Linked DNA regions of Coturnix japonica. The protein of the gene in region 2 interacts with the protein of the main gene of each other region in a pairwise test. Links are inferred from orthologs where the notes say so. Each region holds a gene or a part of one and is shown on either strand. Other genes may lie near its edges.

The links. The genes of interacting proteins can lie anywhere in the genome.
Region 1: the proteins of SAT1 (region 2) and HOXB9 interact in binary tests that used the Homo sapiens proteins (3 or more experiments, as listed by UniProt). The two-hybrid records come from large-scale screens. The link is inferred for Coturnix japonica from reciprocal best matches to the Homo sapiens genes SAT1 and HOXB9.

Annotation. Positions count from the first base shown.
Region 1 is NC_029542.1:3,139,278-3,143,320, reverse strand, and holds the start of HOXB9 (homeobox protein Hox-B9), read right to left. Parts: upstream 2,821-4,043; 5' UTR 2,668-2,820; coding exon 2,160-2,667; intron 1-2,159. UniProt on the Homo sapiens protein: Sequence-specific transcription factor which is part of a developmental regulatory system that provides cells with specific positional identities on the anterior-posterior axis.
Region 2 is NC_029516.1:107,414,906-107,418,963, reverse strand, and holds the start of SAT1 (diamine acetyltransferase 1), read right to left. Parts: upstream 2,840-4,058; 5' UTR 2,626-2,839; coding exon 2,560-2,625; intron 2,363-2,559; coding exon 2,143-2,362; intron 1,000-2,142; coding exon 898-999; intron 789-897; coding exon 748-788; intron 474-747; coding exon 303-473; 3' UTR 1-302. UniProt on the Homo sapiens protein: Enzyme which catalyzes the acetylation of polyamines. Substrate specificity: norspermidine = spermidine >> spermine > N(1)-acetylspermine. This highly regulated enzyme allows a fine attenuation of the intracellular concentration of polyamines.

The sequences.
Region 1 (4,043 bases), on a different chromosome or scaffold from region 2:
CCTTAATGTAATTGACTCGATCTAATATGCAGAATTAAATATTAAAGAGGAAGAAAGCTGTTAATAATTGATACTGTTAATCCTGCTACCCATCTTTTAATGGCAACGGAGGGCTCTGCTTCATAACGCATTTTTATTTGGTCGGGTTTTATTTTCTTTTATTTTTTCGGTCGCATCTCGGATCGTTAAAATCGGAGGCATTTGAAACGCGGGTATTTTATTTACTGACTGTATACACCCTCCTGAATGGGCGAGCAAATGAGGGGAGGCTCTGGCACATGGTTTCCTGCAAACCTAGCAAATAAATTCACAGATCCCGGTGCCATAACCGGCCTAGAGATTCATTATTGTGAAATACTTTCAAAAAATTGAAAGAGTCAGGGAAATGGGTGGGAGTGCTCGCTGCAAAACAGCTCCGTCTCCCAGCCCTGGCAGCCTCTCCACATTAGCCCAAATTAAACTATTATTTAAAACAAAATATGCGTCGTAACCACACGCCATAGAGAAACCACACTGCATCCTCTTAGCTCTGGTCCCTGCGCTTACTTAGGACTTAATAACATTTTCTTGGACGAGGCTTTTCTATATTGAATTTCAGGGACATTGAGCACAGAACCTGGATATTTCATTCTCTCCGACCATTCACCTCCCGCTTGCAGTTTGTTCTGGATCTCTGCCCAGCACAATAGAACAGGACTTTCTTTTTGTGTGTGTGTGAGTGTGTGTGTGAGTGAGTGTGCACGGTGCAAGCCAAACGATAGGGGAAAAAAAGAATGCCCCCGCACCATCGTGCACACGGAGGGGGGAATACACCGCGTTTTCAGTACTGTTGCTCCTACACTTGGGTGAGGGGTTGAGGAGGGGGAAGGGGGGGTTGAGATGGGGTGGAAAAACCAAAATGAAGTTAATTCACGGAATGACTGTGCCAGGGTGTCCTGCACACGCTCCGCACGCTGTACCTTTAGCGGGGGCTTTCTCTGCCCTCTCCAACCCAACACTCCGCAACAACTTCGCCTTTCATTGCTCAAACATTCGCCGCGATATTGGAGCCAAATTTCTCCCTCTCAGCCCTTTCACCTCCCAGATGGACCCCGGGTACCAACCGAACCGGTGCGGGGTGAAGACCCCCCATTCTTACACACTCAAACTCTCTTGCGTCATTTTAATAACAACAACAACGCGTATTACAAGCAGCACTAACCATAATCTTATTAAACACATCAAAACGATTCTTCATTCTGCGTTTTAGGGCTAATAAAAGAGAAACCAGGTCACTAAAAAGGCACAGGCTGAAGTTTAGCTGTTCTCCAATCTGGCTACGTTACAAATAAAGAGCTAATTAAGCTGGAAGCACTCCCCCCTCTCTCTCTTTTTAACTCAACTCGGAGGGAGTTTGGAAATAGTGATATTTCGGCTTTGGAACAGTCAGACCCTGAAGTGAGGCACGAATATACGAGTAATTGGAAACAGAAAGAAGCGGAGGCGTGCAAAAAAAAAAAGAATAAAATAAAATAATAATAAAAGAAGAATAAAAACAAAAGAAAAGGGAAAAAGGAAACCAAGCAAAACGCTCACGACAAATACACCCACGGCAGCAAAAAAACAACAAACCCCGAGGTGAAGGGGAGCCCCGAGCCTTCAATCTGCCGGCGCAGCGCAGCTCAGCGGGCACGGAAAAGCCCCCGCCGCTGTTTACTTCCCCCCCACGTGAACTTTTCCTCCTCGATTTTCCCTTTCCCTTCTCTCCCCCGACCTCCGCTCTCCTCTCCCGGCCCTTCTCCCCGCGTTTCCCCGCACTCTCCCCCCCCTCCAGTCCCTCGGTTCTCTCCACCCGCAGCCCCGCACTCCCTCACTCCCTCTTACAGCAATGATCTCCGCTGCCGGAGTCAGCGTTCTGTAGGAAGGAGGACGGCTCGATCCAGCTTTTGTCCTCTCTGGACTCTGTTTTGGTCGGAGACGACTCTCGTTTTAATATTTATTTGTATTTCCCCCCAGAAACAATGCCACCCCTCTCCCCTCCCCACCTCTCCCCTTAGGTTGGCATCAGCCATCTGAGAGTTTTCTTTAAGCCCTGATTTTAAACTTTACGCAGCATTGTCCCCTTTTATTGCACCTCCTCCAGCTTTTATACTGTTTACTTCCTCACTTTTATAACTTACTTTGATCTGTTCTGTCTTTGTCTTCGCTTCCTTCACAAACTTTATTGTCCTCGAAGCTGGGCCTTTGATTGGAAACGATCCCTTCCCTTGCAGCAGAAGTTTCTAAATTGTACTCCTGTGTTCCCTGTTTATGGACATCCCCGGGACGGCCCAGCAGCGGCTCAGCCTTAACAGATCCCTGCCCGGGGAGGGTCTCTGCTCTGGGCACTGGATCCAGCCAGCTCCGTAGATACCTGCTATCAGATGGGACGCTTTGATGTTGAATATATGGATGGTAGACGGCAGGAAGGGTACCAGAAGAATGTGGATTCAAAGGAGTCCAGGAGGCGCTGAAAACAGGAGGTTTTGGCTGAAAACTACAAGAGGGGAATTCTAGATGTTCATTGTGCCCAGCTTGCCTGGAACTCGTATATTGCCCAGATGAAAATTTAGCTGAAGGCGAGTCTTCACTTTCATGACTTATAATAGAGTCGACATAGTAATTGCTAAGAGTCCCAGAAATGGACATTCTCAGACATCATACAAAGCACGGTTCAATGAAGGGAAAAAAAAAATATATAGGACAGATCTAGATTTGTACTCTACCCCCTTCTCGAACTTCCTAGCCAACAAAGTACAGTTGGGCTGCTGTGTTGTGAGCTCCCAGCAAAATGATTGGTCAAACTTTTTTCGTGTGCCTGATAAAGCGTCAGTCTCGGCGTAAATCAATCGAAGCCGAGGGGGCTGCGCTGCGCTGTCATCCGCCCTTGCATTCCATATCAAGGATGGATTGTTTTATGTTTATGCAATGTTGCAAAACGTCAGGAGTTTAGAAAAGCCACGAAACGGGCAGAGCTGGGGCTGATATCTCCCTACGTAGATTTTGCTGTTGTTATGGAGGGGGGGGGGGTCCGGGAGGGGGTCCGGGTTTCTTTTCTTTTCCTTGTTTTTTAATGAAAGATGCTGATGTATTCACTTCGCCTTTAATAACCACCATGGGGGAATGGGAGATAAAAGCTATTCTTTGCCACTCGGGCTCCAGAGTACGATAGCAAAAAACAAAAACCAAAAGGCAGAAAATACATAGAAATCAACCCCCCCTACCCCCCCATCCCCCCCTCCCTCCGACCCGCACCCCAGTGGTTTCGTATACACACATACTCGTGTGTGCATTACACGACATGCACACGATGCGCATACAGATGCGTTTTGGGAAGGAAAAGCGAGAGTCGTGGGAGGGTGTTGTAAATAACAAACCCTCTGGCATCGGAAAATGGATGCTAACGTGGTACGATCATGGGGGCAAATATGAAATTTCAAATGTGAGTGGCATATGCGTGACATTACGGCTCGGAGCAGCGAGCTGCAGACACGATCCCCCCCCTTCCTCCCTGCTCCCCCTCCCCATGCCCTCGGCTGAGTGCTTCTATCCGTATCGCATCCAAAAACCGCTCCGTGTATGAATTCATCTTCACGTGTTTTGCGGCATAATGTCGGGGTTGCTTTGCTGGAGCCGAACCAGCGTGATTCACCACGTCGCTGGAATCAGAAACCTTCATTGAACTTTACAAGCCCGGTGAAATACCGAGCGCCACTGACTCTGCTTTGTTGCGGAGTGCCTCCGACTTGCGACGGTTAAAGAGTTTAATAAAACTTACATTAGCTTTCTTGGATTTTTATAGTCCTGAATTTATTGCCTGTGGAAAAAGAAAGGGGGGGAAAAAAAAGGGATCCCTCGCCTTTCCAGTCACGGTGTTCCCCCCCCCGCACACCTCGCTTATAGCACCGCTTGTATGTGTGCGTGCCGCCTCCCCTCCACCCCCCCGCCGCCCTCTCCCCGACGGCGTTATCGGCGATCCGACTCATTTCGGCTTAATTTTAATTAGAATTATAATTTTTATTTCT
Region 2 (4,058 bases):
AAAAGGAAATAAAACAAACCCTACCAGTGTGTACATTGTACACATTTGAATGCCACTTACAAGAATGAAGTTTCCATATACAAAGATTACAAGTTCACACTGGTAAAAGGATGGATACAAGCACGTATTCAACTTGAGATGCCTCCGCTCCAGCTGACGGTACCAATTACTCTATGACCATGGTTGCACAGTACTACCATCCACTCTATTTTATTCCACTACCAACACAGAAAGCAAGAAGGGGTTTATTCAGAGAGCGCGTATATTCATTGCAAGAGTTTAGTTGCTGGAATCTTCTCTCACTACTCTTCCGTTGCCATCTTCAACAGATACTCCTTGTCGATTTTGAAGAGCCTCCAGCCCTCTTCAGTGGACAGATCGGAGGCGCCCCTTCTCTTGTAGAACCTGATGGAGGGCTCGTTCCACTCTGCCACTAGGAAGTGCATGCTGCTGCAGCGGCACTTGACAGCAACCTGCAGGAACGCAAACACAGGTCAGCGGGTCTGATGCTAAGCAGCACCAGCTGCAGATTGCTCCGAGTCATGATGTTCACTTTATCTCTCAGTTCAGCCTCTAGGCAGTGGTTAAGGCTGCCTGGAGCTCTGTCATTTCTCTTTTAGTAACTCATCAATGCTAATCCTGTGTAGTGCTCAAGGAGAAACTTGATTGCAGCTAACAGAAAATCAAGACTACTGCTCCATCATGCATCCCCAGTGCTGTTCATTTAGACTTAACACTCAGACATACCTGACTCAGATTCTTCAGGATTTCTGATCCAATGCCAAGTCCTGAGGGAAAAAGCAACAAAAATATACAGTTTAAGGAAAAAACAGCAAGACAATTTCAATTTTAAAGTAGCTCTGTAGGAAGCAGCTTGTCTGATTCCATAGTACTTACCTCTGTATTCAGCCATCACATAGAAATCTTCAAGATACAACAGCTTCCCAATCCATGGATCGTAAGTGAAGTAATACATAGCAAAGCCCACGATGCTGTGCCCTGAAACAAAGCACGCAGCTTTAGCTGGTCTGAAGCTACCGATTTGCATTAAGTCTTACATGCATATTTAAATATACAGATAGTGACATGCAGCCGTTTGCTATAAGGTTAGAATAAGAATGAAGCACAACTGGAAACGTCAGTATAAACTGGCATCAACCTAACGGAAGACTGCCCTCTTCACACCCTGAAACGCTCAAGAGCAATGTTATAATAAGCAGTGAACAAAAAGGCTTTATTTCTACTAATACATACCCTACTGATTTATCAGCACTTCCCTTCTGGAATACAAAGCAATACAGAGCAGTCCAAGGCCTAGGTAACCGCCCCAACACTGCCTTGCTTGGCAACCCCGACAAGCTACAAAGCTCTACAGAAGGTTCATCTTCCAATGTATTGCTCAGTAGAGAGAAGACATGCTCAAAGACAACTGGTACATTCTGATACATTTCTGATACGCTGACATATGTGCACACTGATTGTATTGTGCTGTTTTGAATTCAGCACCAACAAATCAAGCTACATAGAACTGCAGCTTCAAGTACAGCTGCACCACTCAACAGGGAAGAGAAACCAGCTCTTCCTGCAATAACATATTCAAATCTAAGCCTTGAAAATCGCAATGTCTACCATCATACTCTGCACATACTCTAAAGGAAGCGTGCAATAACTTCTGATCTACTGTGTCTTTGGTAAAGGTTTGGGAATAGCACTTGTCCCTGTAGACCTTACCTCATATTATGATCATCTACTTTATTGTGTAACGGATCTTTTAGTTACCTCCCCGCCCATCCATGTACACAGAAGGGCCATGTACATGGCGAAGCTAGAGACTGTAACCTGAAGATTGGGGACAAATTAAAGAAAACATGTGATTCAACAGGATTACATAAGGTTAAGTTAGGGTCAAACAAGAAAAGCCATTTAATTACTTGGCATTAAGTACATTGTTACACCTGATCATCCAGCATCTCCGAGGTTAGCAACTACTTCACAACAGCACGGCTCTACGTTATCGCCATTTTTAAGCTTAGCCTGTTCCTCCTGCCCCGACTCCTCGCTGGAACCTCAAGTCAGGTAGGTCACAATAAGCACAAGGCATCTCTTATGTAAAAAGAACAAACGAGCGGCGCAATATCTCACCTTCAGCCGACCACTGCTCTTTGGGCACCTCCGCAACGAGGCAGTGGTAGAACGGGTGCTCACCGAATCCATCCTCCAGCAGCTCTACGAGAGCAAAACAAACGGGACCCTTCAGATGCGGGCGGCGGCACCGAGCCGCAGCAGGGCGGGCAGTCGCTGCAAGCCTACCTTTCTCGGTTAGCACCACTTGATCCTCCATGTCCTCGTACTTGGCTAGTTCCTGGAACGGCACAACACGTCAGCCGCCTCCCCCGGGCCCATCACCCCTCCTCCCTCCTTCCCTCCCCCCCTCGGCCTTGCGCAACGCCCTGTTTGCGCCTTCCCCGGGTTCGGCCGCCTTTCCTTCTCTCCCCCCCCCCCATCCCATCCCACCCCCCCCCACCCCATCCCTCTTGGCCTAACGTTGGCGTCCCGCACCTTGATCAGTCGCAGCAGGTCTGAGCAGTCCTCGGGACGCGCGGCGCGGATACTGAACGAAGCCATTTTCGACGGCGTTTCCCCCTGCGGCCCCCTCGGCTGACGAGTCCCCGGTGTGTGAACAGGAGGAGCAGCTGTTTCTTCATTCGTGTCCCGGGCGCGGCGGCCACCTGCGGTCAGTCAGGCTGCGAGCATGTCCCGGCGGCGCTCGGCAAGCAGACGGCTCCCACCCGACAACAACCCCGATCCAACGCCAACTGCGCCGGCTGCGCATCCTCCGCCTCCATTTATAGATGACCGCGCTCCGCCTCTCCCCGCACGACAGCCAATGGGAGTGCCCGCAGCTCTCGCCCCCAGCCAATGGTAGCGCCCCTCCCCGGAATCTTGCCTCGCCCTGCCAGCAACAGCTGCCGCCGGTGTCTCGTGACTGCCGGCCGCCATGGCGCCCTCTGGCGGAGGCGGGAGGCGCAGCAGGACAGGCCCCCCCTGCTGTATGTGAGGCTCGGGGCGGCTGTGCCACTCACACCGTTTTCCAGTGCACACCATGGCTTAAGAAGTTCACAGAATTGTAGGGGTTGGAAGGGACCTCTAGAGATCATTGAGTCCAACCCCCCTGCCAGAGCAGGCTCCCTACACCACGTCACACAGGTAGGCGTCCAGGCGGGTCTTGAATATCTCCAGAAAAGGAGACTCCACCACCTCCATGGGCAGCCTGTTCCAGTGCTCCGTCACCCTCACTGTAAACAAATTATTTCTCACATTCATGTGGAACTTCCTATGCTGAAGTTTCACCTTCATTTAGACACAGGGACCAGTATGGAACATGATACTGCCCAAGGATTGGATGGAGAAGTGTATTCTGGTGTCCAGGTTTGGTCAAGAAAACCATCTGGCACATGCTTAGAGCCCTGGAAGGCTCTAACATCTTAAATTCACCCTAAATCCAGTTTAGCCTCCATTAGAACAAATATGGAGCTGTCCAGAGAACAGATGCATATAAAAACCAGGAAGTGGCAGTCACAAAATCACATAATCACAGAACTGTAGGGGTTGGAAGGGAACTCTGGAGATCATGGAGTCCAACCCTATAGCAGGTTGCACAGGAAGGCATCCACAGGGGCCTTGAATCTCTCCAGAGAACAAACTCCACAGGCTCTCTGAGCAGCCAGTCCCAGGGCTCTATCATCCTCACAGTGACGAAGTGAACTTCTTTACAGTGAGGGTGACGGAGCACTGGAACAGGCTGCCCAGGGAGGTGGTGGAGTCTCCTTCTCTGGAGATATTCAAGACCCGCCTGGATGCCTACCTGTGTGACGTGGTGTAGGGAGCCTGCTTTGGCAGGGGGGTTGGACTCGATGATCTCTAGAGGTCCCTTCCAACCCCTACAATTCTGTGATTCTGTGATCTTCCTCATGTTAGTACAGAACTCTTTGAGTTCCAGCTGCATTGCCCCTTGTTCTATTGCTGCTCACTACCAAAAAGAGTTTGCCCCATCAACA